4 linked regions of the Drosophila melanogaster genome follow. Changing the gene in region 1 together with any one later gene gives a genetic interaction. Each region holds a gene or a part of one and is shown in the gene's direction. Other genes may lie near its edges. The genes, in order: dally, Sdc, Sulf1 and egg.

Region 1 (4,854 bases):
TAAACGATGTGGTGGTGTTTAATTTTCGACCTCACCTTTTCCAGCTCGTTTTTGTTTTTTGTTGCCGTTTCGCCATCCCATCACCATCATCATCATCATCATCATCACGGTTGTTTCTGATGTGGATTCGTTTCATTGGAGAACTGTTTCCGCTTCGCATGACTCACTTTTCGCTGTTTGCCCCGGGGTCTTGAGTCTTCTCCTTTTTTTTTTCTTATTTTTTGGGAGGTCTTTCTTTATCGCACACTAATTTGAATAGGATTCCATTTCGTGATGAACATATCACCGGGAACGGAAAACATCCATGGGGGGTGGGAGGGCGTTTGCGCCCAGCTGGACGCCCGCAACTGACCACCATGAAGTTCCCGCTGCCCTGGCTATATAGTATCTTGTTAATGAAGAAATAGATACACAGACGCCCCGAGACGCCTAGGTATTTAAGATCGAGGTCGGTGCCCGCGGGGTGACGAGTGAAAGTCCGGGGAGAAGAGGCTGGTGTGTTCGGGTCGTGCATTGTCTGCCACACCGCTGCAGCCTCAAGACAATCGCTTCGTTTTCGCAAATTGCAAAGGGAAAAAATTAACAAAAGAAAAGAAATGAAGAAAAAAAAACAAACGATACCACCACACGTGCTGTGCGAGGTCATGACACGGCTATCAATTTGAACAGAAACATTTAGCCCTAGGGAAATAGCTGCCAAGCATCTGAGACTCTTCAAAGGCGTGAAATCTGAGCCTGCTCCACGGGTTCATCAAGCCGATCGTAAAACATAGCCTATGAAATAAAATTAGAACTCATTCAGACATCAATTAGAACCGAGCATGCAAATTTCAACCAGCGGCATCGATAAAAGCCCGGATTAAAAGCCACCGGAGCACCCGAGAAGACCACTGTGAGATGGATTGATTTACGTTGAATATGCAAATTGCAGCGAGCCAACGTTGAAAGCTTTTAGAAGAGCATTTCGAGAATTTGAATAAATATTTAGGCCCATCGGACACAGAGAAAAATAATCAGAATCAAGCCAGCTCCTGTGGCAGATGACACGGCCAGGGAAAACTCGAAGTTGGTCCTGAAGAATGCCGGAACCCATAAATAAATGCGAATCACTATTGAAATATATAAAACGAAAACAGGATATGTGTCATATCAAATTTTATGGAACTACGTAGATTCATTGGCTGTCGAAATCGTTTGGCAATCATCGAAGAGAATAGATATCTTACGAAAGCTAAGCTTGCGTTACTAACTTTAATTTCCCCTTTTACTCATACTACATGCTGTTAATAAATACAACATCTTATAAATTGTGGTTGGGCATTCCTTAATTAAAATACTTTATAATATCTAATAAGCATTACAAAGTTTGTGGTTTAGTTCGAAGCTCGTTTTCCAAAACTCTAAAGACTCAAATTAATTAATTCATTTCAGATTGCGCCCTTGTATTACTCATGTATTCTCGGCGTTAACCTGTGAATTAAATTGAGTTCGCATAAACACCTCTATTCATTGCACCACTGTGCCAACATCTGTGCTCGCCGTTCTCTTTTGTTCGAAAGAGAGCGTTCGGATGGTTCTCTTAGCGCCGATTGTCGAGTGCCGAGTGTGGTTCGTGTTCGCATCGTTAAAGTTGTAGCACTCAGGGCGGATGTTTGATTTCGATGGCAAAGTCAATCTGTTCGGGTTTCTCGTCGTGGAAGGTTCGTTGCGCGCGCGGAAAAACTGAAAATATCGGTGCGAAATTCGAGCGGAAAAACGCTAGAAAAGAAGGCGAGTGCATTTCCTCGACCTGAGAACGCCGGTGGCCAAGGAGCTTTGCAATTAAATCTATTTTCGCCGACCTAAGTACACAAAACGTAGGAGAAAATTAAAAAGAAGAAAAAAAAAACAAATCTAATCGCTGGCAAATCAATTGCTAAGGAATTGAGTACTATTCGTTGTTATGTCATGGAAAGTCTCTGAATAAGTTAAGAAAATACTTGTGAGAAATTTAGCGACCTTTCAAAACTAGAAAGTAGAAAAGCAAAAAGTGCTAGACACGCGCTCTCTCTTCGACCACCACCCACCACCACCCACTATCGCCATCCCACGTTTACTACCACGTTTATTGCTCACGCGTGTTTTTGGGGCCTTTTGTTTTGTGCGCTCGTGTTTGTGGCCGTGTGTGCCAGTGTGTGTGTGTGCGTGTTAGCCGGCAAGTGCATTTGTGTGAGTGTGTGTGTTTGTTGCCGCGAACAGCTGTTCACCCAGACAGCATGCAGAAGTAAATACGAAGAAGTGCTGCAAAATAGAGTAAATAAAATAACCGGCTAAAATAAAAATAAGAGAAGCATTCAAAGGCAAATCAAATTTAGCCCCATCATCCACTGTGTCTGCACACAGAAATCACCCATCAAAAATGGCGGCCAGGAGCGTGCGGCTAGCGCAGCTTTTGCTATTTACCCTGCTCTGCGGCTTCGTCGGCCTGTCAGCCGCCAAGCACCTGGACCTGGATGGTATCCACCACCACCAGCACCACCTGCACAGCGCCACCACGCACCACAGACGTCGCCTACAGCGGGACTCGCGGGCGAAGGACGCCGTTGGGGGATCGACCCACCAGTGTGATGCCGTCAAGAGCTACTTCGAATCGATCGACATCAAGTCGAGTGGGACTTACAGCGAAAAAGGTAAAGTTCACGCCATCCATCCGTAGAGTTATAATATCGAGTATGCACTTGGACATGCGGGCTGGGGAAGAAGCGGGGAACGATGGAGGAAGTTAAAGCTACCAATATGGTTAAGGCCCCTTAGGAGCAAACGTACTAACTTTAAACTATGCAGAGGAAAACGTATGTTATTTCCCCAGGTCACTAGAGTGGTTCGAATACTTAAAGTCTAAGTTATCTACTCCATTAAATAAGAAAGAGGTACATAAATTGGGATTATTGATAATGGTTTTTCAATTTAATTACTTTTGCATCCTCTCCGTTTAAAAACATTTCTTTTGCGGGAAATTCATTGCCTTGATTTCAGAGTTTGTCTTAACCCTCGCCTCGCCATCAGTCTTCCATACTTCAACCAAGTAAATCGCGCGTCAGCCAAAGTTTTTGCCATCCCGCAGCTGCAGTTTCTCTTATTTCTAGTCCGTTCTAGACCCCATCCGCTTCTCAATCCCCGCCAGAAACTAGAAGCATATGCAAATTCATTGAACTGAGTGAAACCCTCGAGCGGGCAGCCACTCGAGGCGAACTATGACCACTCGAACAGCCGGGCGCCGTTTGCAATTAGAAGATTGCGCATTGAGCAACGCCTCGGAAAAGTTTTCGACGTGCCGTGGATAAAGTTTTTGGCCGCGCCAGGTTCATTACATATCGGATCTGGCACCTCGCAGATGCAGAGATACATAGATACACAGGCGGCGGCATCATTTGTTATTCTGATTTCTCGACACTGCCATATCAAGTGGCACGCATCTGAGGCCAAACTGTGTGAAGGCTATGGAAGGTATATTTATATTTACCACAGCCGATATCCACAAGATACTCGACATATTTTTGTTTATGCATATTTCATACCCGAAGTCAAAAATAAGACCGAATAACCAAATAATGCAATACAATCCGATAATATCAGTCGAAAACGAGCGAATGTACCCAATATATATCTGTTTCGTGTAATTGAGTGAAAAATAATTATTATTGATTAGCCGACCTTGACTTGGTATTTACGCGTTTACGCACAATTACATGATACACAGCCGCAAACTCGACTGGAATACAAATGTATCTGGCGATGATGTTGCAACTTTTCCCTCCAATGCTTACCTGTCTGCAGAGGTTCTCGGTTCTCTTTGCTCATTCTGTTCAGTCGTTCCCACACGCAGGTAGTTAACGCCAAGAAGAACTATCTATGAGATACATTGCTGAGCAGACCGCATTGCCATGGCATCAAAGTGTGAAGAACCGAATAGCCAACCGAGAGTTGGCGTTACAAGTGCATGTTTGTGTGTCCCAGAGACTTATCCACCTGAATGCCAGAATGCCCAATTGAACTGGTAGCTGGAAGTTATTAGCGCTGGCTTTGAGGAATTTCAATTTGGCTAATGCCAGGCGGCGTATCTCCGATCAGCACCTATGTATGTATCTCTGTATCTCTGGTCGTTGCTCCTGCTTAAGTATGCCGAACCTTGTTTTCGACATTTATTTACTGTTTACATAGTTCCACTTGCGCCTGCCTCCGCCTCCGTAGAATTTATGCCCCGCCAATGTATCTATGTATATCTGTTAATGTATCTGTATCCGTACAGTACGTATCCGTATCTCCATCTATATCTCTTTCTGTTTGCTCTGGAGTGTGTTACTTTTACGTTTATGTGCTGTTTGTGATGCTAATCTCTCGTCGGTGCCATGCATACGATATGTTTCTCCCGATTTGCTTTTGCCGTGCAGTTCCCGGTAGAGGCGCTCGGCATAAAACTAAATTTTAATTTAATTGCGCACACCACTCGACTGCTAATTGAGTTGGCTTTGCTTTTGGGCCAAAAAAAAAAAACAGTATTACTCCGTGCCTATTAAAATGAACATTAACATTGGCGCGTTACAAAGACGCACAGGAAGTCGTAGCTGCAGTATCTAATCGTATCGCACAGTATCTGTATCTGTTTACCTGCAAGTATCTGTAGTATCTGTATCTATGCTTAAGGCATAGCAGTTCCAATGCCCCCGACCGTGTTACTAAATATTTAAGCAACTCGCAACAGAAATTAGAGCAAGCCATGAGATATGAGCCCATGTATCCGCGTATCTCCTCCGCCGGCAAGTGTTTGTGTGCCGCCTGGCTAGATAAGTGAAAAGTGCAAATAGAGAAGGCAAA
Region 2 (5,212 bases), on another chromosome or scaffold:
TCAACGGTTGACTACGCCTGGGATGCTGCTCCTGTGGCAGCTCCACATCCTCTTCTTCCGTTTGTACTGGCTGCTCCATCTCTTTAGGGACCGGTACTTCCGCAACAGATGCTGGCTGAAAATGTAACACCATTATTAATAAACTATACTATATGTCAAGATAGTTTATAACCTTAATTGATTTATGAAGCTGATAATATTTTTAAACTAATGCGCTACACTTATTAGTCATTTACACAAACAAAGTAAGGTAATAGTACTTACTAAATTGGCCAATGGGACATCTATGCCGTTGGTCATTTCGGTTTCGGGTTCTCTACTGGGCGACGATTCCTCCGAGAGCTCCTCGAGGACCTGCCCGAGAACAGACGATGCGGTGACCTCCTCCGGCAATAGGGATTGCGATTCTGTGCCGGACGCAGTGATGGAGATGGATGACAATCCAACTGCTAACTCCTCTACAGTTTGTTTGGATTGCGTTGGCGGTGGAACAGCCTGATCTTGGTGCTGGTCCTCATGCTTGACCTGTTCCGGCTGTTGATCCTGTTCCTTTGGCTCCACCTGAACTTCACTCGTTTTCTCATCTTCGGGGGGCGTTGCTAGCTCCTCCGAGTGACTGCCATTGCTCACGGGCGACGGACCCGACGAGAAGGTGGAACAGGATGAGGTGGTCAGCGATTCGGAGGACGATACTATCGTCTGGCCGTTATTTTTGGACGCCTGTTCGCTGAACTTGTGGATGTCGTCTTCGTGTTCCGCCTCCGTTTGCCAGTCGTAGCTGGGTAATTGGGCATCCACCTGCAAGGACTTCACATTTTCCCTGTAGTCATCCAGGCTGTTGAAAACCTGAGAGACGCCCACAAAGGACTTTCCAGACGCCGGTGTTGGTGTTACTCCCGCAGCTCCCGATACTCCGGCGCCAGCTCCAACTCCACTGATCGATGCACTTGCTCCGTCGCCCAGAAAACGGCCAGGATTTGCACCTGCAGCTGCTGCTGCCGCTGCATTTCTACTCAGCTGCTCATCGGCGGCAATGCTCAGTTCCAGATTGTCCAAAACCTGATCAATGTCCACCAAGTCCATGGCCACCAAATCCGCAGAAACCTTAAATAAAATTGAACCAACCAGGTTTATCTGCTTGCATTTTCACAAAAACGCAAAAGAGAAAAAACAACACAAAAAGATGTGGAGAAAAAACGGTCTTGTGATTCATACCTTTTTCACACCTCGAATATAGTCATAACAAGGCAATGAGGAAAACAAGGACGTATTCGCCTTTAATAAGCAATATTAAGCACCTGCAATCACCTTATTTACTTTGTTTTCTTCTCGCTAATTTATTAACAAAAACTCGGTGACGAAAAACATTGTAAGAAACTGCCTAAAAATAGCCATGGAAACAGTGTTGCAAAGACAAAAAAAATTAAGTCAAATTAGCACCTTTCTCATTTAGTATTTTATGATGCTATCTCGTTCTATCTTTCTCTATAATCTGTTACTGTTACAATGTTAACATAAACCGTAACACCTTTTCAAATTTGAAAATAATAATAGGTAAAAGCTGTCGGGTCCTACACGAATATGAATGCTTCAATTGTTCAATATTAATGCGTATGAATTCAAACAAATCTATTAACATTGGGTCTGGGAAATTTTAGCCGCCAGTCTGTGTTTTTAAAAAAATGTTGGGTTGTACAACTGAACTAACAGTATCACAGAATAACAGTGAACGTACGAGCAACCGAAACAGTGTAAATCAGTGTAACCGCAGCTTAGCTCAAGAAAAATACTATAAGCATTTAAATATGAAATCTTGCCGATTTAAATGAATTCAAAATGTTAATTATATTTGATTGAATTATTATTTGCCTATCAAACATTTAATAATTCTATAATAATATCTTAAGCAAATCATGTAAACAAACAGTAACATAAGAATAAAACCAAAAAAATTCAAGATGTTAAAGTAACATTTTTAATCGCGAAATTGTAACAGAAATATATAAATTTTAAATGAGTACGCGTTTCGGAGTGTCTATTTAAGTCATCACCCAGCTAAGCATAAGAATTGGTATTTTTTAGGAAATGCACAGCTTGGATAATTGAGTCGTTTCTGCATCTGGTAACATTGGCCAAGTCATTCGAAAAAATTTTACGGAGCGAAGAAGGCACGGTTACGTCCGGATTTTAGCGCGATTTCGTGTCTGTTGTTTGGTCGGCACTCGAGTGTAAAGAAATTTGTACATCCCCGAAAAGAATCGCGAGTGCAATTTTGTAAATACGGAGAGGAAAAGGTGCGCAAAATAGCAAAAATAAATGCAACGAAAATAAACGCAGCAAAACAACGGGCAGAAAGATACGAAAAGAAGAGGCAGGCGAAGCAGAGGAGAAAAGAGACACATAAAGAAGCCGCCATAGCGGCGTTAGTGGGAAAGAGAGGGCGCGAGAGGAGACGGAGAGCGAATACGAATGCGTATGGTGTAGTTGTAGTGGTGGGCGGTCGTGTTTTTTTTCGTTGAAAAATCTCTGGATTCAAAGGGAAAAACAGAAAAACAAAAGGAAAATACAGTGTATTATACGAAAAATTTGTTAAATTTTATGTTTTTAAAATTATAAATTACAAAAATCGAATTCGATTAAAACACCCACACACACACCAATACACACAGTAGTTGCGCTGTTGTCTCCTCTTTATTTTTGTGTTTTTCTCTCTGCGTAAACGTTTTGTTTATTACCCCCGCTCTTCTACTTCCTTTCTTTGATTTTAGCCGCGCGCGCATACGATAAATTGTTGTTAATTTTACAGTGTGTAATGCTTAATTAATACCCTGTCTCTCCAACCAACGCTATCTCTTTTGTTTTGCAATTCGATTGATAACACATCGGGAATAGTGTGTGTCTGGAAAATAAATAATCATAATAATCATAGTTTCATGTGTGTATTTAAACAGCGTTCTTCTAGTGTGAAACCAGTTTAAAAAGCTGCAAGAAATATATATAGCTCAATATATATATTTATATATGTGTGCCGCCGCCAGTTCTAATCTTTAAATCAATAAACAAAACTGGAAGCCATTAGCTGAAATCACAACAACAGCAACCGCAGAAGAAACCAACGGGGAAAATGAAGCCAAAGCAGAAGATTTCCGTAGAGCCGCTATTGCTAGTCGCAATTCTCATCGGAGTTCTGGTAGCCGCCACCCACGCTCAAGATCAGGTAAGATCTCAAAAATTACACCCGAAACTACCAAATGTTATTAGTTTACGTTGAGATAAGCCAAAATCAATGGCCAACTTCAAGTTTACCTGGCCAACCGAAATTTAGCCGACTTTGTGATAATATTAATGTGGCTTTAATGGCCATTGAATGCTTATTCATATTAATACGTCACACAGCTTGATTAATTACGAATGGGTCATTATTAGACATTGCTATCCTTTTGTAACGACATACACATGCCCACCAGTTTGGGCACAAAGTGGAGCATTTAAGTGGCCCCTTTCAAAAGCATAGTTGCGTAAGCCCATTGCTGCTTGTAACTGCTTACCAATTAAATCGAGGCAGATTCAATCAGCAATCCGAACTCCCAATTTTCGCCACCTTGAGAGGGTTCGGAACTCCAAGTTCGGTTCGATTTCTTGTTCACTTCAGTTGTTTTTGCGGTTTGCGGTTGTCCAATGCTGTTTCTGTTGTTCTTGTTGTTCTTGTTGTTGCACTTATCATGCAAAATTCGGCAGCCCCAAGGTGGATACATGTGTCATATACCCATGTACCATGTGGCAGAGGCTTGACGGGCAACGGGCATGGGCATGGTCAATCTCCAAGGCATTGCACTGAATGCAATTTGTGGCTGCAGATAATGAAGAGGAAAGGCCTCCATGTCCCGATGAATGTAAGCCGTAAGCTTCTGGCTCCATTGCTCCACTCCTTGGCTTCTTGTAGAAAAGACATTAAAAACGTCTGCATTGCGAACGCATAAATATGGCAGTGAACTAGACGCACAGACATCGGCACTGTGCAATATATATATATAGATAGTTATACATAGATATAGATATCGATATAGAGGACGAGGCGGCTGCTGGTCAAATAAGGCTGCAAATCCGAAATGGTCATCGACTCCAACGCATCGCATCCAGCCATCCATCGATGTTGTCGACTGTTACCCATTAGCGATGAGAGATGAGTGCCGCCACAGAAACAGATATGCCGCCACGTTCATATGGGGAATGCTACTCGGAGATATAGAGATGATTCAATTTCCGACGAATTCCTTTCTATTCGTCTCTCGTGCTTTCTTTAATCACCTGCTCTGCCCAATGAGATCATTTGGTGTCTGAATGTGCTGTTTTGAAAATTGTTTACAGATTCGAAACTGGCCTCTTTGGTGTTTTCCACTCATCACACAGTATTTTTGTCATTAATTGAGTAGTTTAATTTAGATTTACCGATTGTAAACTCTGCTTTTAAAGGGTGTTAACTTAGCAAAACCGGTTAAATTAATGGGCAAGTTGTGTAAATTGCTTAAAACAATTGCCAAGTTGACATTTATGTATTAGTGAAGGCAAAAGTTGGATTTAAACTGCATAATTTCACTTAAATTCTAAAAACTAATTTGAAGACTTGAGTTGGATTACTTATCAGCTTTTCTTGTTATCTAGCGCAATTACTCACATTAAGATTTATTGGCTGATAATAAAACCAGCTAATGAATCAGGCCGCAAGCCCAAAGGGCAATATTAATGTCTCCTTCTTATCTTCACCAAGTATTTTATGTAATTTAGCACATTTATTACATTCCGTGCTTTCTTGTTAGTTAATTATCCGAAATTAGAAGTTCTATTGAGATACGGTAAAAATTTAACAGCCAGTTTTCTTCATTTTCCGCAAAGAGTTTACAGTTGCATTTTCCACAGCTCATCACTGGAAAGCACTTCTTGATTTGGGCCTGGGTTCTGGGCCAGTTTTTGATACAACTTCTGCTACTGGTCACGATGATCTTTGGCATCGTCTGTTGCCAACAAAAGCATCCGGCTATTGCCAATTTCGATGGCTGTGTTTGCCTCTTTCACTGCCTGTTTGTTTGTTTGTTTGTTCGCTTGCCTGTTGGTTTGTTTGCCTTTATTGGTGTGTGACTTATTGGCCCGAAAAATTTCTACACACACTACTTGCACATAAATAGTGCGATGGCCTTTTACCCCTTCGCAAACG
Region 3 (5,273 bases), on another chromosome or scaffold:
CACACAGCTGGCCCAGCGCCCCGGCTAAGACACCCAACTAATTCGCGACAACTGCTTCTCTTCCTTCCTTGACCATGGTCCATATCCTCCGGCTGCCTCTTGGCCCAATTTAGGGATGCCGACGATGCGGTGAAGGCGCGCGACGGCTACGACTACGATGGGTATCGTCTGCGCGTGGAGTTCCCGCGGGGCGGTGGTCCTGGAAGCTACCGCGGCGGCAACCGCAATGACCGAAGCCGCGACGGTGGGGGACGGATGGGCGGACGCGGACCGCCAGCCAAGCGCTCGCAGTACCGCGTCATGGTTACTGGACTGCCCGCCTCCGGATCGTGGCAAGATCTCAAGGATCACATGCGCGAGGCCGGCGACGTCTGCTTCGCGGACACTTACAAGGATGGTTCCGGCGTCGTTGAGTTCCTGCGCCACGAGGACATGAAGTACGCAATCAAAAAATTGGACGACTCTCGCTTCCGATCGCATGAGGTATGTAAATTGTCCAGTTCCAACTTTGTAAAATTCAAATGTATTCGGGTTTCAAGGTAGAGAATTTACTTTTGCATTTATTTTGTCAGCATACATTATTCACAGGCTGGAATAATTAAATATGATTTCAGGAATAACATTAAGTTATATTGGTGTAGATGCTTACACTTACGCCCTTAAATGTGTCAATTTGATAAACATCTAGTTCACATTCCTGTTTACATTTTGAAAAATAGTTTGGCGACATTATTCAAATGATATTAATATTTTTATTGTCTTTAGGGCGAGGTTGCCTACATTCGCGTACGCGAGGATAGCGGTGATAACGACAGAGGCGGTGGTGGTGGCGGCAGCGGTGGAGGTGGTGGCGGCAGCGGCGGAGGTGGAAGCCGTGACTACCGCGACAGGTAAACCAAATATTACCACAGTTCATTTTTCAATATTTATTCTATGAATCCCTCCACAGATCCCGTTCGCGCTCATTCTCGTCGAGGCCGCGCCGTCGTGGCACTCCCACATACTCCCCAGTGCGACGTCAATCTTATTCCAGGTCTCGCTCACGTTCTAACTATTAAACACAACCAAGCATTATCCATTAATCTATAATATTTTAATGAGCAGGAAACAGGAAAAGCAAGCTATATTAGGAAATACCAATCAATATTTGTTCAAGACCCCTCAAATACCCCAATTGTAAATTGATTTGTAAAATGAAATCAACGACCAATCAAGTTTGTTCAGTCAAGTTCCGAACTCTCACCGAAGCCAACATACTTAAAAAAGAAAAACACTTGCTTTTCCAACTTATCACACGTTCTAAGAAGCAGAAATGTTCTCTTAAGTTATAATCCACCGGGCAAAATTTGACAAAAACAGTTCTAAAATGACAACTGTAAACCAAGGAATTCTCTTTGGCCAAAAGCACTCGGCATTCCTTGATTTGCTTTTGATTATCTTTTGAGCCTTTGCTCAGTCTGCTTCCTACATATTATATTATAACTCTTATTTTGGCTGCACGTTTTCCAAGCTAATTTATTAGAATCTACCTTAACGAAAACAAGAAACATCGATACAGAATAAATATGTTTGTAATGAGATAAAGAAAAGAAACAGAAATCCGAACACAACGCAATGTCAACCACATTGATAAGCAAACTATTAATACTTTAATTTTTATTTTCTTCTCTTCCCCATTTTGCGCGTTTATGTTTGGAGAGTGATGAGGATGTGGAGGATGAGGATTAATGGATGTGGAGGAGGATATTTTGATGTTGATTTTGGCGTGGATTGGATAAATTTGGATTGAATTTAGTGGAGGCAGGACCTGTCTATAGATCTTATAAATATGAAAATATTTATTTGATTGTAATCAGGATTGGATTTGGATTTAGGATTGTTCTGAGCCCTTCGCTAGGACAACGTGGGATGCAGTGTCCCATGGCTAACTCGCACCTCGGAGGAGGAGGAGACAGGAATTTCGCATTGTTGAAGGATTTTATGTGTGAACTTTGGTCGTGTTCAGGTTAACGGATGTTTGGAGGAGGAGAATGTCGATGGCATCGTTGACGGTGAGGAACACTTGCGTTGCCCTTGGACAGGACTAAATCATACAGTTTCGGACTCGGCCGCATCTCTTCGAGCCTCGCCCCTTCTTCGGCATCTGCCTAACGGTCGGGATTAGGATTCGCTTGGACAGGCTCACACGCTTTGTTGTCGCCTTCTTTGGATCGCACTTCAGAAACTAGCTCACCCAGGGAACCGCGTATTTCGTGGCCTTCGCGCCCCTGTCGTTGTCATTTCACGGATTTGCTGTGCATCATCCAACGTTGACTTGCGCCCAACGCTGGATAGTGGATAGTGGTTCTTGGTCTGGTCCGATCCGATGCGTTCCGGTCTCCCTCTGTCTCGCCTCTCTGTGGTATGTTAGATTGCCACATCAAATTTAACTTTTAATTTGCGTTATTTAGTTTATAATTTATATACTCTTTACCCAAATCTTTCGTCTCCATTGATATTGTTGCCTCTGAAATGTGGCGATTGTCGCGTGTGCGTTTTGTTTTTCATTTTTTTTGAATAGAAGGGCGAAAATTCATAGGCCCCGACTATAGCCCACACCCGCATCATTTGCATGAACTTTCGTTAACCTAATAAAAAGTAATACCACAGCAATTTTGGAACAGAACAGTTCTCTCGTTCTCCTTGCTTATCGATCAACATATAAGCCATAGTTCTAACATATTTTTGAAATGAAATACACATTTACAATAAATATTCATAAAAATTAAGAAAAATGTCATGCTTTTAATACAACATTATAAGATGGGTGCAATCAAATACTTTTAGCAATTTATCTTGCTGAGATTATGAGCTTAAAATTAGACTGCTAGACTCGTGTAGCAGGTATTTGTGTTTATGGGATGTTCCTGTACTTATGAAGATTACAAATTAAGTTTGCTTGTATTATCTGCAGGAAAGACTTCTGTTCTGGATTTCACAACCTTTGCATTCCGAATCAATTTTAAACTTCCCGCTTATGGATTTTTACAGAGGACTGTTATTAGGGCAATGATGACCGTATTGTTTTAACGCAAAATACCAGATTTCTCTGTGCGAAAAACGATTTTTGGTCACTTTGCAGCACGGCCACACTGGCAAACAAACTATATAAGCAACACGCGCATTTTGTTGTTGGGTTTTTCAAAAAATATTCACCAGCTGTTCGGACGCGCGTGGGAACTGCTCTGTGTTTGTTGTTTTTTATAATTTCGAACGGAACGAACTGGTCGCATACGGATTTTAATTTATATTTACGTACTAAGCTAACGCGCGCTGTAAAATAAAAGTAGCGTAGAATTTCTAAACCAACCATCTGACACGAGAAAAGTGCGCCAAAAGTTCGGAAAACCCGTAGAAACCCTGTTGAAAGTACGAATTGCATGTCAAAATTGCTAACCCACGTAATAATGAATAACAAATAATTCGGAAAGTGCAATTTCGTGGGCAGTCTTTCGACAGCTGAAGGAGAAGATATCGGCCCAGATAGCCGGCCCTTCGTTTATGAATTGTGTTTTGTGGCGGTGTATCCAGCTTATCTCCGCCTTGTTCGGCTCCAGTTTTATTGAACTCTACCGGATCGGACGGTACTACCCATCTGGGGATAGTCAGTGGGACTGAGGAAGCTATTAATCGATCGCGATTGTACAACCAATTACCGGGTTTATCACCTAATTCGAAGCCGCTCGGCACGACGCGAACTATAAATAGAAGCTGAAGTGTCCAAATAATCGGTAGACAGCGCTCATGATCACAATCGCAATAGTGTGTTAAAACTACAACTACTGGAAGTTTAAACAGATATATATATATATTTAGATATAGCCTGAGGTAAGAAGTGCATTTTATGGATGTTTTGCATGCCCACGGAACTGCTGAGATCATTAAAGTTGGCTATTGAAAGCGCAGCATCAGCGAATTCCCCCTAGGAGTCATTGTTCTCGCTTGAAACTTAAAAGGTTTTTTTATTGATCATAACTTGAAATTAGTTTTACGGGGGGAAGATCGACTGATCCAAGCAAATCATGCGATACTAGTCGTTTGTGGTCCTCATCAGGCATCCCAACTTGTTTGGTCTTTGTTCTACCGACTGTTCAACAGCACTTCCTCAATATTCCTGAGTGAAAGTAAGGCTTGGCTTCGATCGTTTGACATTGGTAATGTGACCCACTTAGGAGTAGGGTGCTTCTTTGGTAACTCGATCTGTCAAGCCAGAGGTGTTGCCTTGTGGCTACCTACTACCTAACTAACTGCTTGCAATACAACCTGCGTAGGGTCTTCAAGGTCTCCTCCCCGTCGGTTTCCTGTTCATCTAAGCAACCACTGTGAGAAAACTTGAGCTGTCTGTAGGAACACCTAGCATCAATATACAATTATGTGTGTAAAATAAGCATCCATATTCAGCAGCAATTTTTAGAATCCAGTTTAATTGTATTATGAGTATACATTGTATCTAGGGTTCCATACATTTCTTGCTAGTTATTTGTAGCAGTGCATATGTGTGCAGGCAGCTCGTTTGAATCCCTTGTGCGTCTCTAATCGGAGACCTGCCCATATGACCGGGCTCTGCTCTTTGTCCTCCCCGGCGTGTTAATCTTTTGTTGTGATGAGATGCTTATCACACCTACCGCCGCCTTGCGACAGGTGCATTCTGAAGTTTCCGCTGGAGCGAACCGCAACTGGAAACTGGCAACTGGCAACTGGCAGCCGTGGAAATGGGAAACCCTTTTCGCTCGACCATTCAAGTGCCGCTGTTCGTTTGACCGAATGATTGACGGGCGGCAACTGTGACCCCTTAACCCCTTGTTGCCGGCACTCAATGGGCCGCATCGCGTAAGCAATTTATGTTAATTGTTGTTTGCCTGTTGTGCCTTGCCTTTTGGACCGGGTCCATTCACTAATCGCTTGGAGGAAATTTAATTTAATGCGTATAACGAAACCACCCTTAAAATTTACCGATTGCTGACTAATTGTGGGAATTTTTAAATAATACCAGATACCCAATAGCAAGACAACTTTTTGCCTTAACTGGCAATTCGAAGTAAAACAAAAGATTTGTTTGCTAGATGATATGATTAAGTCGCAACATCAACAGATAAGATAATTTTTTGTTTATATAGAAGAAATAATATCTCTGCAATTCTGCAAAAAATGGTGTCCCATAGTTTCAGGGAATTCATTTCGAAAGCTTGAAAAATGCGCTACAAGCTTAAAAAATTTAAATTTAATAGTATGTC
Region 4 (7,064 bases), on another chromosome or scaffold:
TTAACCAGAAGCGGGTGCAGAATATCGCCGAAGTGCTAACTACGGGCGTGCACATCCTGCGCAACGGAATTTCTCTGCTGCGCGTGGGCAAACGCAACTTCTATATTGTGCGCTGGCAATAGTTAACAGTAAACCTCTTATCCGGTAATGTTAACTTTTAATTGTTGTTAAATAATCATAGAATGGCTTACATTGTAAGAACTTATGCTATTTATGTGGGTCTGGGGGCGGGCTTTTTGCGCCACCGCTTTCGCGCCAGCATTTCCTTGGCCTTCTCCTTTTTCAGGTCCTTGTCGTAAAACTTGCCGCTCTTCGTGAAGGTCTTCTGCTCGTTGCGCATCTCGGCCAGCTTTCGGTTCTTCTGTTTGATGATGTTCTTCTTGTTGGCCGACTTCTTCTTGCCCGCCTCGGAGATCTGCACCTTGATGTTGCGTCCCTGCAGCTCTGTGTTGTGCAGCTGGAAGGCATTCTGGAAACTGCTTAGGTCGGCCATTTCCACAAAGGCGAAGCCCCCTCGTCGCTTCTTGGGAATGCGGATAGACTTGACCGTGCCTGCCGCAGAGAAGTGCAGCTCCAGGTCGTCCTTTGTGGTTTCGAAGTTCAGGTTCGTCACGTACAGGACGTGTCTGTTGGTTTTGGAGGCTCCTCGAAGCAGTGAACTCAGCTGGTCACTGGTTATCTGCCCATTTTCCGCAGATTCCTCTTCCTCGGCTCCGGAAGCAGCACTGCCCTCAGCGGCTGCCTCGTCGTCGGACTTGGCCTCATCCTCGCTCTTACTATCCTCCGGGTCACTGGGATTCCGTCCGTCCTCCTTGTCCACATACGTGCCCTCGAAGATCTCCCTTCGCTTCTGGTCATCGAAGTTTCCCAATAGATCCGCACTGTCGTCGTTGACTGTGCGTTGAACTCGCTTGGGATTGAAGAAAGCCTCCACCTCATAATCGCTGCCAGAATCACTGGCCATCGTGATATTTCTGGGGGAGATTGCAGTGCACACCGATACGCAGACACCACCACGTGGGATTCCCTCTGAATGGCAAATCTGTGCGGTCCCAGACATTTTCCAGCACTGGCTAATTGCGCGCCAAGAAATTCAAATCCCAGGCCATATTGCAATCGCAGCTTGTTAGAAACCGGTTGCAACTGCGGGAGCAAAATCAGACTGCTAATGGAGTTATGCGAAAATAATGCTAATCGGCGTTAGCATCGAAGGAACCGGTTAGCTCTTATCAGCTAAAAATTAATCGTGCGGTGCTGACAATTGATGAACGTGGTTGTTTTGGGAATCTTCCGCACAGATCTCCAAAGATAACCCCCCGAATATGATATGCCGAGTGGGGCGATAATTAATGCCTGCAGAATGACTGCATCTATGTCTTTTGTTTAATTAAGACAAACGACCGCTGGGAGCCAGTTATGAAGAAAATTTATGCAGTTGGTGATTCCGGCCGGTAAAATGTCAGTGGAGAGCTACATATAAAAGCGCAATTTTCGGCAACCAGCAGTCAAAATTTTATCGCTATCTATCAGCACACACATCCCCTTTCCAACCATGAAGTTTGTGGTAAGTGGCATCGAAATTAGATTTTGGGGACCTCTGAACAACGATTTGTCTTTTAGATCGTTCTTGCCTGCCTTTTGGCCGTGGTCTTCGCCAACGAGGAGGCTGATGTTGTAAAGAGCGACTCCGAGGTTAACTTGCTGGACTTTAACTACGCTTATGAGCTATCCAACCATATTCGCGCCGTGCAAACTGGAGCCTTGAAGGAGCACGACAACTGGGTGGTTTCCGGGGAGTACGAGTACGTGGCCCCCAACGGCAAGACCGTCAAAGTGGTCTACACCGCCGATGAAACCGGCTACCACCCAAAGGTCGTCGAGGCCTAATGAACAGGACCCACTCCCGAAGACCGAAATAAAAAATTAAATCCATTGCAGCAGCGAACATTTTGAATTTCCGTTCTTTTTCTTTTGTGTGAATAGACACTCTTCTTCTTTCTGCCACTAAAATCTAGGGCTGGCAAATTACGAGCGAAATTTTATACAATGTTATCGCTTGTCTCGCAAATTTGCATTAATGTGTAAAGTTAAGTAAACTCATTAAAACTATGTCTGGGCAGCCAACAGCCGTGGACTGCTTAGAGAGCAGTGGAAGCACAGTGGAGGATGTCCAAGAAACACCGGCGTCGAGGGAAAAAAGTTACGGGTTGCCGGTGCGCAAAGGAGAAAATAGCTTGGAGTCTCCTGCAGAACAAGCCGCAAAGGATGTGGAAATTGAGGAACTGACACACAGTGAAGCAATCGCCGCCACCGGTTCAACCAGGAAGCAGTGCCCATATGGAGGTAAGGCCCCTGATGAACCTGGAAAGTTGGCCGACGAATCGGAGGACCGCAAGGGAGAGAACACGAAAGCCATTGCAAGCAGCCCGGTTTTGGTAGCTGTGGATTCGGACAGCAGTGTTGAGCTAATAGAGAGTCCTGTCAAATTCTCCTCCGCCAACGAAAGTGAGAAAGATCCGCCAAAACCAGATGCTGTCAATGAAGCTGCGGCTAAAGAGGCCGAGGAAATGACTGATAGCAGCATCAGCAGTCCCACATCCGAAAGTTTTCCTGAAAAAGATGAAAAGACCAATAAGGAAAATGAGCAAGAACCTCCTGGCATGGAGGTAGATCAGGACGTCGAGGAGTCAATAAGTCGACCAGCAGAAGAATACAAAATTGAGAATACATTAAAAGGTCACAAGCGTATTAGCTTAACGGAAATCGAAGAACACAAAATTGTTGATAAAAAAGACGATGTCCTAGAGGTGGAGCTTGAAAAGGGCACTGCTCCGAAAGCTGCAGAAGACGAGAAGCTGAACGCTTTGTTATCAGATGGAGATGTCTTCTACGACAAGGAATGTGTCAACTGCAATTGCACAAAGCTTCATAAACAGTACGTGTTGGCTAACATGGCCACTTTAAACTTTTACCAGGTGCTCCGAAAGTCTTCCAAGCAGCAGTTCCTCTGCATGGGATGCCATGACACAGCAATGGACTTGTATGAGGTCAACTAGCATATTTATTAACTTAAGAGGGAAACTTAGAACGTATTTCTTTATTTAGGAGTATGCTGGACAACTAATGGCCAAGCAGCCGCTGCTGCTAAAGGATTTCCATCAGGATCACGCCGACTTTGTGGCTCTGGACAGCAGCGATGAGGAGGAAGAGGAGAAGCAGCCAGGTGAGACTGCTATCATGATAAATAAACAATAGCAAAAAAAAAAACGTACTAAATATATTTTATCCGCACAGAAAAATCGGACTTTTCGAAAAACAAGCTGCAGCTCATCGAAGATGAACTCGATGATGCCATCAAAAATGTACTTAACAAGGTGGATTTTACGGCTCAGCTGTCCTGGTCAAAAACTATTCTCCAGGCGAAAGCAGACCACTTGGAGCGACAATTCGCACTGGCAGATGTGGAACTCGAAAAAGTTCAGACCACCGCTGACAAAATGCACTGCGCTTTGTATAACTCGTGTCCGGTGGCACACAAACATCTGCCCACCCTGGACATTGAACCCAGTGACTATGTGGTAAGTAAGAAGTGATGCCGTTTGGATCTGATTTAATACAACCATTTACTCAGCATGAAGTTCCACCTCCTGGCGAAATCGTGCGTCCTCCAATACAGTTGGGAGAGACATACTACGCTGTTAAGAACAAGGCTATTGCCAGCTGGGTGTCCATAAAGGTAATCGAGTTTACAGAGAGCACCGCCATCAACGGAAACACGATGAAGAGCTACAAGATTAGGTACCTCAACACTCCGTACCAGATGATCAAGACAGTGACGGCCAAGCACATTGCCTACTTCGAACCACCGCCAGTGCGACTGACCATTGGTTAGTTCCCAATAGACCGGTTATTTATCAATCTATAAACTAACCCACTCATTGTGCACTAGGTACCCGCGTGATTGCGTACTTCGATGGCACCACTTTGTCGCGGGGCAAGGATAAGGGCGTGGTGCAGAGCGCCTTTTATCCAGGCATCATCGCTGAGCCGTTGAAGCAGGCCAATCGCTACCGCTACCTAATATTCTACGACGATGGGTACACTCAGTACGTTCCGCACCGCGATGTCCGTCTAGTTTGCCAGGCTTCCGAGAAAGTGTGGGAGGACGTACACGCCGCATCGCGCGATTTCATACAGAAGTACGTGGAGAAGTACTCCGTGGATCGTCCAATGGTGCAATGCACCCGGGGACAAAGTATGACCACTGAATCGAACGGGACCTGGCTGTACGCGCGCGTCATTGACATCGACTGCAGCTTGGTGTTGATGCAGTTTGAGGGCGACAAAAACCATACGGAGTGGATATACAGGGGTTCATTGCGCTTGGGTCCTGTCTTCAGGGAAACCCAGAACAATATGAACAGTTCAAGCGCACAGCAGCTGCGTGTCCCAAGAGTAAGCATCGTGTCGATTCATCCTGCGGTCCTAACTACAAAATGTCTTTCTTTTTCAGCGCACGGAGCCCTTTATTCGGTACACCAAGGAGATGGAGTCCAGCAGCAAGGTGAACCAGCAGATGCGTGCCTTTGCCCGCAAGAGCAGCGCCTCCGCCCAAAATAACGCATTAGCGGCTGCATCTTCGGCAGCAACCCCAGCCGGAGGACGCACCAATGCAGGAGGTGTCAGCACCAGTAATAGCGCAAGTGCTGTGCGACACCTAAACAACTCGACAATCTACGTGGACGACGAGAACAGGCCCAAGGGCCATGTAGTCTACTTTACAGCCAAGCGGAATCTGCCTCCCAAAATGTACAAGTGCCACGAGTGCAGCCCGAACTGCCTCTTTAAGATCGTTCACCGTCTGGACAGCTACAGTCCGTTAGCGAAGCCTCTGCTTTCTGGCTGGGAACGTCTTGTCATGCGGCAGAAGACCAAGAAGTCTGTGGTATACAAGGGACCTTGTGGCAAAAGCTTGCGCAGCCTGGCCGAAGTTCACAGGTACCTTCGAGCTACTGAAAATGTGTTGAACGTAGACAATTTTGACTTTACGCCCGACCTCAAGTGTCTGGCCGAGTACTCCATTGATCCCTCGATCGTGAAGGACACGGACATTTCAAAGGGGCAGGAGAAGATGGCGATTCCGCTGGTAAACTACTACGACAACACCCTGCCGCCCCCATGCACCTACGCGAAGCAGCGCATCCCTACCGAGGGTGTTCATCTGAATCTGGACGAGGAGTTCCTCTTGTGCTGCGACTGCGAGGACGACTGCTCGGTAAGACGTCTTACAGATCTGATTACCTCAAATTATACCCAGCCGCCCACTATTTTGTGTATCCCTATCAGGACAAGTCAAAGTGCGCCTGTTGGCAGCTAACGGTGGCGGGCGTGCGGTACTGTAACCCGAAGAAACCCATCGAGGAGATAGGCTACCAGTACAAGCGGCTCCACGAGCACGTGCCCACCGGCATCTACGAGTGCAACTCGCGCTGCAAGTGCAAGAAGAATTGCCTGAACCGGGTGGTGCAGTTCTCCCTAGAGATGAAACTGCAGGTGTTCAAGACCTCAAATCGTGGATGGGGCTTGCGCTGCGTTAACGACATCCCCAAGGGTGCTTTCATCTGTATTTACGCCGGCCATCTGCTCACGGAGACGATGGCCAACGAAGGCGGACAGGACGCCGGCGACGAGTATTTCGCGGACTTAGATTACATAGAGGTCGCTGAACAGTTAAAAGAGGGATACGAGTCGGAGGTGGACCACTCGGACCCGGACGCCGAGGAGGACAACGGGGGACCCGATGCCGAGGACGATGACGACTTCCGGCCAAACTATCACTACCAGCGCAAAATCAAGCGCTCTTCCAGAAGCGGCTCCACGCAGAACAGCTCCACTCAGAGCAGCGAGTTGGACTCGCAGGAGCGTGCGGTGATCAACTTTAACCCAAATGCTGATCTGGACGAGACGGTGCGGGAGAACTCGGTGCGGAGGCTTTTCGGCAAGGACGAGGCGCCCTACATCATGGACGCCAAGACAACGGGCAACCTTGGACGCTATTTCAACGTGAGTTGGAAGTTTTTTGTTATTTTGCCGTGTGGCTGATTCTCTTCTTCTCCCGCAGCACTCGTGCAGCCCCAATCTCTTCGTGCAGAACGTGTTCGTGGATACTCACGACCTGCGTTTCCCCTGGGTTGCCTTCTTCTCGGCCGCGCACATCCGCTCCGGCACCGAGCTGACTTGGAACTACAATTACGAGGTGGGCGTGGTGCCCGGCAAGGTGTTGTACTGCCAGTGCGGGGCCCCCAATTGCCGCCTTCGTCTGCTCTAAGTTCTAGCTTAAGTTAGAGATCCATACAGGAAATATACTCATTAAAGAAGAATTAGAATTAAAAATTTAAACTTTAAACATTATCTGTTCCGTTAGGGTAACGGAAACATTGCATTTTTATAAGCTACTGCTGTTCTGCACCGTCCGTTTCAAAGTACACAATTTTCTTCACGTTTAGTGTTAAAGGAATAAATATAGACAAATGAATTTTAAAAAATTATACTTTAAAAAAATAATAATGTTCGTTAATTTAACGGTATTAATTTATGTGGTATTTTAACGCATTTTACCTAGTGGTATACTTAATCATCAGCCGTACGGTATTTTTAATCGTTATCCGAACGGTCACACTATCCACCGAGCAAAAAAGCAAATTTAGGCTTTTTAAAATTCGAGAGTAGCTAAATTAGGGGCCGCAATGCGCCAAGCTCACCTGTAAGTGGCTCCAGCAAGTGTCTCGTCGCAGGTGCACAGGTGCTAGGCAGCAGGACTCCGCCGACGGCTGACTAAGAGCAGCTTATCCGCCCCTTGGGAAGAAAAAATCGATTTTGTGATAACGGGCTTACGCTTACGCGTTTTTGCACTGCTAGTCGGAACCAATTGCCAGTAGACTCCACACCATGAATGTGGACTTTGCGAGGGTGTGCGGGAAGCACATAGGCGTCTACGAGGCCTACTACAAACTGGTAAGCGCACCACGCCTCCAAGCCGCACTGTTACCAGGATGGCGGCCAAT

Evidence for each region.
Region 2: of dally (region 1) and Sdc, changing one enhances a phenotype caused by changing the other (phenotypic enhancement), as found in Drosophila melanogaster (one study listed by BioGRID).
Region 3: of dally (region 1) and Sulf1, changing one suppresses a phenotype caused by changing the other (phenotypic suppression), as found in Drosophila melanogaster (2 studies listed by BioGRID).
Region 4: of dally (region 1) and egg, a change in one rescues a mutant of the other (synthetic rescue), as found in Drosophila melanogaster (one study listed by BioGRID).

The regions. Positions count from the first base shown.
Region 1 is NT_037436.4:8,825,835-8,830,688, forward strand, and holds the start of dally (division abnormally delayed), read left to right. Parts: upstream 1-1,670; 5' UTR 1,671-2,398; coding exon 2,399-2,669; intron 2,670-4,854. UniProt on the Drosophila melanogaster protein: Cell surface proteoglycan that bears heparan sulfate. Functions as a coreceptor for growth factors and morphogens, such as the products of dpp, to regulate signaling and distribution of these ligands.
Region 2 is NT_033778.4:21,478,096-21,483,307, reverse strand, and holds the start of Sdc (syndecan), read left to right. Parts: upstream 1-2,131; 5' UTR 2,132-2,294; intron 2,295-2,929; exon of another isoform or gene 2,930-2,951; 5' UTR 2,952-3,124; coding exon 3,125-3,217; intron 3,218-5,212. Other genes in the region: Sara (smad anchor for receptor activation), read right to left, coding at 1-115, 265-1,083. UniProt on the Drosophila melanogaster protein: Cell surface proteoglycan that bears heparan sulfate. Required for axonal and myotube guidance, is a necessary component of slit/robo signaling and is required in the slit target cells.
Region 3 is NT_033777.3:16,336,439-16,341,711, reverse strand, and holds the start of Sulf1 (sulfated), read left to right. Parts: upstream 1-2,136; 5' UTR 2,137-2,401; exon of another isoform or gene 2,402-2,769; intron 2,770-3,168; exon of another isoform or gene 3,169-3,867; intron 3,868-5,273. Other genes in the region: SF2 (splicing factor 2), read left to right, coding at 114-483, 766-890, 950-1,058.
Region 4 is NT_033778.4:24,774,858-24,781,921, reverse strand, and holds egg (eggless), read left to right. Parts: upstream 1-2,020; 5' UTR 2,021-2,108; coding exon 2,109-3,047; intron 3,048-3,105; coding exon 3,106-3,223; intron 3,224-3,294; coding exon 3,295-3,578; intron 3,579-3,631; coding exon 3,632-3,887; intron 3,888-3,949; coding exon 3,950-4,455; intron 4,456-4,513; coding exon 4,514-5,275; intron 5,276-5,346; coding exon 5,347-6,063; intron 6,064-6,121; coding exon 6,122-6,328; 3' UTR 6,329-6,388; downstream 6,389-7,064. Other genes in the region: TyrRS-m (Tyrosyl-tRNA synthetase, mitochondrial), read left to right, coding at 1-122; CG3594 (uncharacterized protein), read right to left, coding at 212-964; Lcp9 (larval cuticle protein 9), read left to right, coding at 1,553-1,564, 1,621-1,887; Eps-15 (epidermal growth factor receptor pathway substrate clone 15), read left to right, coding at 6,949-7,014. UniProt on the Drosophila melanogaster protein: Histone methyltransferase that specifically trimethylates 'Lys-10' of histone H3 (H3K9me3) in ovary. H3K9me3 represents a specific tag for epigenetic transcriptional repression by recruiting Su(var)205/HP1 to methylated histones.